2 linked regions of the Daphnia pulex genome follow. The protein of the gene in region 2 binds, or shares a complex with, the protein of the main gene of each other region. Links are inferred from orthologs where the notes say so. Each region holds a gene or a part of one and is shown on either strand. Other genes may lie near its edges.

What was found.
Region 1: the proteins of geranylgeranyl transferase type-2 subunit beta-like (region 2) and synaptobrevin homolog YKT6-like are in contact, whole or in part, in a crystal structure (PDB 6J7F), measured with the Homo sapiens proteins. The link is inferred for Daphnia pulex from reciprocal best matches to the Homo sapiens genes RABGGTB and YKT6. Residues at the interface, in NP_004573.2 of Homo sapiens: Thr3, Pro4, Gln5, Lys6, Asp7, Ile9, Lys11, Tyr37, Leu45, Trp52, Leu236, Asp238, Cys240, Arg281, Gly283, Asp284, Met285, Asp287, Phe289, His290; in NP_006546.1 of Homo sapiens: Lys60, Gln62, Asp63, Leu65, Asn83, Glu84, Tyr85, Pro86, Ser87, Leu153, Asn155, Thr156, Glu158, Arg189, Lys190, Cys194, Cys195.

What each region holds. Positions count from the first base shown.
Region 1 is NC_060026.1:12,911,193-12,914,880, forward strand, and holds synaptobrevin homolog YKT6-like, read right to left. Parts: upstream 2,190-3,688; 5' UTR 1,966-2,189; coding exon 1,773-1,965; intron 1,704-1,772; coding exon 1,603-1,703; intron 1,544-1,602; coding exon 1,373-1,543; intron 1,305-1,372; coding exon 1,167-1,304; 3' UTR 794-1,166; downstream 1-793. Other genes in the region: Golgi apparatus protein 1-like, read right to left, coding at 26-191, 269-490; UBX domain-containing protein 1-B-like, read left to right, coding at 2,517-2,569, 2,658-2,855, 2,919-3,407, 3,469-3,688. UniProt on the Homo sapiens protein: Vesicular soluble NSF attachment protein receptor (v-SNARE) mediating vesicle docking and fusion to a specific acceptor cellular compartment. Functions in endoplasmic reticulum to Golgi transport; as part of a SNARE complex composed of GOSR1, GOSR2 and STX5.
Region 2 is NC_060019.1:10,894,596-10,898,240, forward strand, and holds geranylgeranyl transferase type-2 subunit beta-like, read right to left. Parts: upstream 2,234-3,645; 5' UTR 2,016-2,233; coding exon 2,013-2,015; intron 1,931-2,012; coding exon 1,622-1,930; intron 1,562-1,621; coding exon 1,403-1,561; intron 1,335-1,402; coding exon 1,228-1,334; intron 1,158-1,227; coding exon 1,051-1,157; intron 980-1,050; coding exon 663-979; 3' UTR 604-662; downstream 1-603. Other genes in the region: uncharacterized protein LOC124191180, read left to right, coding at 1-165; sterol regulatory element-binding protein cleavage-activating protein-like, read right to left, coding at 2,566-3,645. UniProt on the Homo sapiens protein: Catalyzes the transfer of a geranylgeranyl moiety from geranylgeranyl diphosphate to both cysteines of Rab proteins with the C-terminal sequence -XXCC, -XCXC and -CCXX, such as RAB1A, RAB3A, RAB5A and RAB7A.

The sequences.
Region 1 (3,688 bases), on a different chromosome or scaffold from region 2:
CTGTCATTTTGCCATCATTTATTACCTTGGGCAACAGAGTCAGAGTTTTCAAGAAGGCAAGAAAGTTTATGGCCTTCAAGCGATTGGTCTTTGCATTCTTCCAAATTTTTCAGCTCTTCAGAGCACATTTTTTCAGCAGCTTCCAAAAATTGGTCACCTTTAGTTAGATTTAGTTTGAACTGCCAAAGGAACTATAAAAAGAAAAAAATTAAAAATGTAACCTTTAATTCTGAAATGAGTACTTTAATAAAATAAAAAAGAAACATACAGAATGACATTCTATTTTGATATCAGAATCACTATCACTTCTCCTGTTTTGAAGGCAGTCAAGAACAGCCAAATCATTTGGAAGAATTTGAGAGCTGCAAAGACGTGTCACGTCGTCTTTACAAACCGGGTTCGTAGCAATTTTTCCGGTGACATCCAAAGCTCCAACCGAAATAAAAGTTGTTAAGGTCACTAATAGAAAACTAACACCTTGGAATAACATCTTCTATTCCAGTCACTACTTATCAGTTGATTTGAAATTTATTTTTAAGATTGAATTAGAGAACAGTCACATCCCACACTTGGTCAGAATGAACATATTCAGGGACCACAGCAGACGTCAGCCGCGTCACACAGTCTACTGTTTGTTCCGCTTTCGCTATCATCTCTCATCTGTTGCCCAAGAACCTTATAGGTTTCTGCAACCACCTTGTTCAAGTACCGCTTAAAAAAAATCTTCTCAGCGGTTTACGTTTGAATCGGTTTGAGCAACAAAACTATATAAACCACGAACGCGACAAATTGATAAATTGATTAAGAAGAATTTATTTCTTTTACATCGATGGACCTGCGGCACAGATGTAAGCTGTGAAATGAAATCATAGAGACGACAATCCATGCAACGTCAGCGAAATACCTAACATTAGCGTCACAATCATTTACGATATGATACATTTATGAGAAACAGAAAATGAGTGCTGTCGCATAACGGGAACAGAGTGGGACAGAAAAGTTCACAGCAATTATTGGGCACCCTTCAAAAATTAAAAATGAATTTATAACTGTACCATATGTCTTTCAATTTCAACTCATTCAGGAATGTGAATTATGACCATCTTCAAAAAATAAAGTAATAGTACCATTCCAAGAATGTGATCAAATAAACATTTCTTGAGAACTTATCCAAAATTGCAACATGAATTTGTTTTTCTAGCTGTTTTATAGAACATTTTTGATGCATCACTCAGTCCTTGAGATTTTGATACAAGGTCATCCAGTTTTTCACCCCTTTGCAATACAGCTTCAATTGTGTTATGCTATGACAATCAAACATGACTGGTTAAAAAAAAATTAAAACAGATTGAAACTTTAAGACTTAAATTACCAAAATAATCTTAGTCTCATCTAGTTCATCTTGAACTTTAGTTAGAGCATCTGCTTCTCTGGGATTTTGATATTTTGCCAAAGATGCTTCTAATCCAGAATAAGCTGCACAGGCAGCATTTGCTTCTATCCAAAGAGATGATTCCACCCGAGCAGCAAAATCATCAAGCACCTTTTGTAATTAAGAATATCTCATCATTTCAATTCAACCAACATACAAGTAGCACTCACTTTGGTTAACAAGGTATGAGCAACCCTCTGTGGGTATTCATGATCTGCCGTCAAAACACAGCAGAGTCCATCTGCTCTCACATAAATGTGACACATATACTCTGCAATAAAGAAATAACATTTAATTTATAATGTACATTGAGTTTTATGATGACTCTTTGCATACATACCTCCTTGTTTCACCGATTGTCTGGACGCAGCACTTGTCCTTTCAGTCAAGATCTTGGCAGTGAAAGCCATAAATTCTTGAACGCTGCTTCGTTGAAAAAATCCAAAACTTGAGAGGTCGTAAGCCGCTCTAAGTAGCTGTGGTGACCCTTGCTCGCTGCGATGTAAAATCGCTAAAGAATACAGCTTCACCATTTTTCTAGATTTGACTAGTAAATATAAGATCCTCCAACAATCGTCTTACTGATAAGTGGAGAGGCCTTTGTTAATTAGTACTAAAGGTTCAAGTGGACGGCTTGAGTTTTTCCTCAGAAGCGGTTAAATCCGATCCGATAGAAGTCTGCAAAAAGTGACAACCAACAAGAGAAAAAGTTCAATAAAACAACGGGAATGGCCGAAGAACCCATTTGTTGCATCGGAATACACCGCCTCTAGCGGATAAACGTAAAATAAGCTGTTTCCCCGCGCTAATTTGGCGCTAATCAGATTGCTAAATTGAATTATAGTTAATTGCAAGAAAGTAAACACTTTTTTAGTAGAATTAATAATAATTTGAGAAATAAAACATTTGGTTTCAATGTAAATTTCAATACAAAAAACACAAAATTTTACAAAAATCTTTGGGGCAAAATCACACCAACAGAAGAGGCTTCATCGTCACTTTTTTAATAACATACTGACATTGCTAGCGCTAGTCGGACGACATACCTCTGTTCTGTTGTTTTTCGAAGAACGAAATACCGAAAATGTCATCAAATCTTCAACTGTTACTAGAAATGGGATTTTCTGAACAGTTAGCGTAAGTTTTAATTCCAAATAATTCATACCTTTTATATTTTTTAAATGGCAACTTAATATTTTGTTATATTTCTTTGAAATTTGAAAAGTGAAAAGGCTATTAAAGAAACTGGAGACCAAAATATTGAAGCTGCAATGGATTGGTTGATTGTGAACAGTGAGAAATTCAATCAACAAACTGACAACAATCAAGAAATGAAAGAGGAAGAACCAAATGCTGCTGCTCAACCTGAAGCATCAAATGCTGAAATGGCTGCTGTTACTGCCAAATCTATTAAATGTGATGAGTAAGTATGGAACTCAAGTCAACCATTGAATTTCTTACATATGTTTTTTAAAATTTCCTCTAGATGTAATAGACTATTTCGCACAAATGAAGAGGTAGAATTTCATGCTGCGAAAACCGGTCACAGCCAGTTTTCAGAATCTACTGATGAAAAGAAGCCTCTCACTGAAGAAGAAAAGAAGGAACAACTGAGGAAAGTGGAGGAGTTGATGAAGTTGAAGCGCAAAGAACGTGAAGAGAAAGAAAAGGCCGAACAACTGGAGCAAGAAAAAAGAAGAATACAGTCAGGCAAGGAGCTTCTCAATATAAAAAAGAAATTCGAAGAGGATGAAATAAGAAAGATTGCCGAAGAACGGAGGCGCGAAAAAGAAGAAGAGAAAAAAGCCAGACAGCGAGTGAAAGAACAAATTGAACAAGATAAATTGGCACGAAAACAGAAAGCCGGTGACGCAACCAATACGCCATATGTAGCTCCTCCAGTTCAGGCTCCGGCTCCGGCACCGACAACACCCAATCAGCCCAAGGACTATAAGGAGACGAAAATCCAAATAAGGTTATAAATCATTCTGGATGACGCAAGTCCCTCTTCCATAACTCTTTATTATTTCTTCCAGACTTCCAAATGGATCGACAATGACGCAAACATTTGGTGCTAAGGAGCAGCTAGCTTCAGTTCGTCTCTTCATTCAAATGAATAGGACCGATGTAAATGCCGGAGTGCCGGAACCATTTCGGATTCAAACAAATTTTCCTAGAAAAGTATTTACCGAAGAAGAGTTCGAGAAGCCACTCGATGTGCTAGGATTAGTTCCAAGTGCTGTTTTGATGGTATCA
Region 2 (3,645 bases):
AAGTTCTGGCGCTCACGATCATACCAAACTTCTTCGGATGAATCTCCTGCAATTGAGACCAGCGATTCCAAGCCCTCAAACATTGAGGCAATCAAATATCAACAAAATGGAGAAGACCTTGGAGAAGACAATTTAGCATATACAGGCGAGGTTCATTCAGCCTAAGATTTGGATGGAAAATATGCCAATTAAAGATGCGCGAAAACATACTCGTGGTGATTGGTACAAAAAGTGGTTATTGTGTTGAATAGACTATCATTGAGCTTTCTAGAAATATTGACAAATTTTATATTGCAATCCACTTGATGAAAAATAAATTATGTTTAAGAATAGTTGTCACTTACACTTTTTGAAGGCGTATTTCTCAGAAAATAAAATTTCTTCCACTGAACCACCTAAAATATTTAAAAACAAAAGGGTTGGAACATCCCTTTAATCTCTGGTCAAAAAGGGAAACTAAAAAATCAGGTAAATTAGAGTTAAACGGATACCAAACACGTTGAAATTTGTTTTAAACCAACATTGTAATGGAAATACTGGTGCCGAAAATAGATTACGTTTTACGCATGACTTGTTCAGTAGTTTGCATGTGTTAGATGTCGATTATGCAAAAACCTTTTTTGTATTCTGAAGGACAATTAAAGCAATAATTCATAAAGTTGCTATAACGACAACATCTGTGGTTGAATTTTCAGCCGGGAAATAACTTGCTGTGGCATACAGAATACAGGATTAATAGTTTTAAGACTAGATTCACCGAGAAGAGATAAACCCGCTAAACCAAAGAGGGTGTGAAATGGATCGGGCATGTCATTTGGGCGATCACTAAATCCGCCTGTCTCGACGTCTTGACAGGCCATAATAAATTTTCTCAACTGATTCTTATCAAGCCAATCAACTCGCCCAATAATCCGCAAAGACGCAACTACCCACCAAGAGTAGCAAACATCCGGCAATTTTTCTGGTCGACCATTCAAACCTAAATAACAATTGAGTTACATAGTTTAAGAGACGTCTATTTGAAAGATTTCTAAAAACAAAAGTAATTACCGCCACTCGGCAACTGCCGTTCACATAGCCACCAGCCAAGGCTATCAGCTTTGATCAAATGTAAATGACCTGTAATCGACAGCATACCAACACAGCAATACACTTGACTGAAAAGGTAACCACAAAAAAGAAACAGTATTATTTCTTCCTTTGTAATTATCTCAACTTAGAACTTACCCAGAATGACTTTCAGAGCCAGGTCTGCATCCAAACCCTCCATCAAAATTCATACATGAGATTACAAAATTTACTGCATTATCAATATTAATAGCATCCAGCCTTCCCTGGAGTAAAAATGTGTACAAAAATATGTGTTAATCATAAAAAAATTGCAATCAGTAAATCCACATACCAAAAGAGCCAAGCATGCAACTGCACACATAGAGAACCTTGTATCAACCTCACCCCATTGATCACCACAGAAACTTCCGTCATCATTTTGCAACTTTTTGACATAATTCACAATTTTTTCACAATCGATTGCATCAAGTGCATCATACAGGCACAAAATCTGAAGAAAAAAAATTCAATTTTCAGATGCATATGAAGTGAGTCAACTCTCATTACCAACCTGAACAGCACTCAAAGTGTAGAGAAGGTGAGGATCATGATCTACACTAGCTCCTATACCTCCATTTTCATGCTGGCATTGCTTTATAAATAAAATAATACCATCTCTGTCCATCTCACCAAGTTTGCCCATCAAATCCATTGCTGTTAAACTCCAATAGATTCCATTCATTCTCAAGTACTCTGTCATACAAAATTCATAATCATCCTTATTGTTTCCATATGCTGCCAAGAAACTTGCATGCTTTGGCAGCAACAGATTAGGTATATCAGCCTCCTTCGGTAGCACTATGTCGTTCATGAGAAGGGCCTAGTTCACATGTTCAAATAAACCATTTATCATATCAAAACTGAGACCGGCTTCCTCAAAATAATCATCTAAATATACGTACCATAATTGAAATTATATCTGTTACGCGGGAATGGTTAAGGGGTAGCAAGGGGTAGTGGATAATAGGTTCCAAGCTATCCAAAAATTATGGATTGGTGGATTTTCACTCTTAACAATGAAATTAAAAATTTATTTTGCAAACACAGGCACACAGACCACTTTGACGTAAGTTAAGCAGCATGAGCAGCTGACTGTTAAGGGGCTAGCAGACGGATCTTTTTCGATGCGACAGTAGCGCCATCGAAATTATAAGACATAATGAAGATTTTTAATTTTTTGAAGACACCATTTTTACGTAAATGAAGTCATGATCTCTAGGATAAACAAATTCCAATGAAAAAAAGTCGGTTTATTCAATCGGCAACAGTTTTGGTATGTTTTGTTGTAGAATTCAATAGCCTCTATGTTGTCATCCACAAACCCAATCACATGTGACACGCTAAAGTAAAAGAAAAAAAGAGAATCTGAAAAAGACAATGAAAAAGGCTGAGGAAAAAGGGGGAAAAAAAGGGAAGGAAAAAGACCAAAAAAAGCTAACAATTTTTCACAATAATTTACTCGACTTTGTGGGTGGAAATCATGGGGAAAGAAACGATGCGAAGCTGCGTTCCGTAGTCACAGATGACGTTGTCTCTGACGACCATGACGTTACGAACAAAAGTACTCGAGTCGGCATCGCCAAGACGAACTTCACGGATCGATTCTCCCGTTCGGACATCCCAGACGACCAGGGATCCTTGCCGACTGGTGACAAGTAACCGATCATTGAGCATAGCTAAACTGCCGCACAGAGCCAGACGGGACAAGGAAAGAGAATTGAGCAGATGACCCTGAAATCGCTCCCAAACGCACAGCTTGTCATCGGCGCCCAAGCTGATGACGTACGAGGAGGTGTAAGTCAGGACGGACACGCTACCGTCATGAGCCTGCAAACTGTAGACGCAAGTCCCGCTGGAGAGATCCCACATGCACAGCATTCCGTCTTGACTTCCGCTTCCCGATGCGCTGCAGGGGTAAGCTTCGTCGATAAACATGGCCGTGATGGGTCCGCGATGCCCGTGAAGACAGTAGAGGGCTGTCAAGGTTTCCAGTCGCCAGACTTTGAGGCAATGATCCAGCGAACCCGTAACGACGCGGCTGCCACTAGCCGAAGCGTCCAACACTGAGATGGGCTGTTGGTGAGCTCTAGCCCAGTTGAGCCGGACCAAACGGAAAGCTAATGGAGATGATCGGTCCTCTTCGTCGTACTCGTCGGCGCCACGACGAGAATGAACGTGGTGGCTGACATCTTCCACAGGACTGTCGAAATCGGCGTGAAACTGGAACGACTCCAGGACTCCATTCAATCGGGCAGCTAGAAGATACTCGCCACAAACTTTGAGTTTGGCCACTCCGACACCACTGCCGTCGTCGTAAAGACAACGCAAACCGGAATTATGGCTCCAAATTTCAATGCGTCCGTTGGCACAGCCCAGTGCCACTTGGCCATCGAAGCATTGCATGCACCAGACGGGCGATGGAAAGTAAGACGTTTTATTATTTCTCGTTGGACTAGTTCTGTCTTTCCAAGACAGGTTGTTAGGGCTGGCCGGAGGAGAATGAAACGAGCCCGGGGATCTAAATACAATCGGATT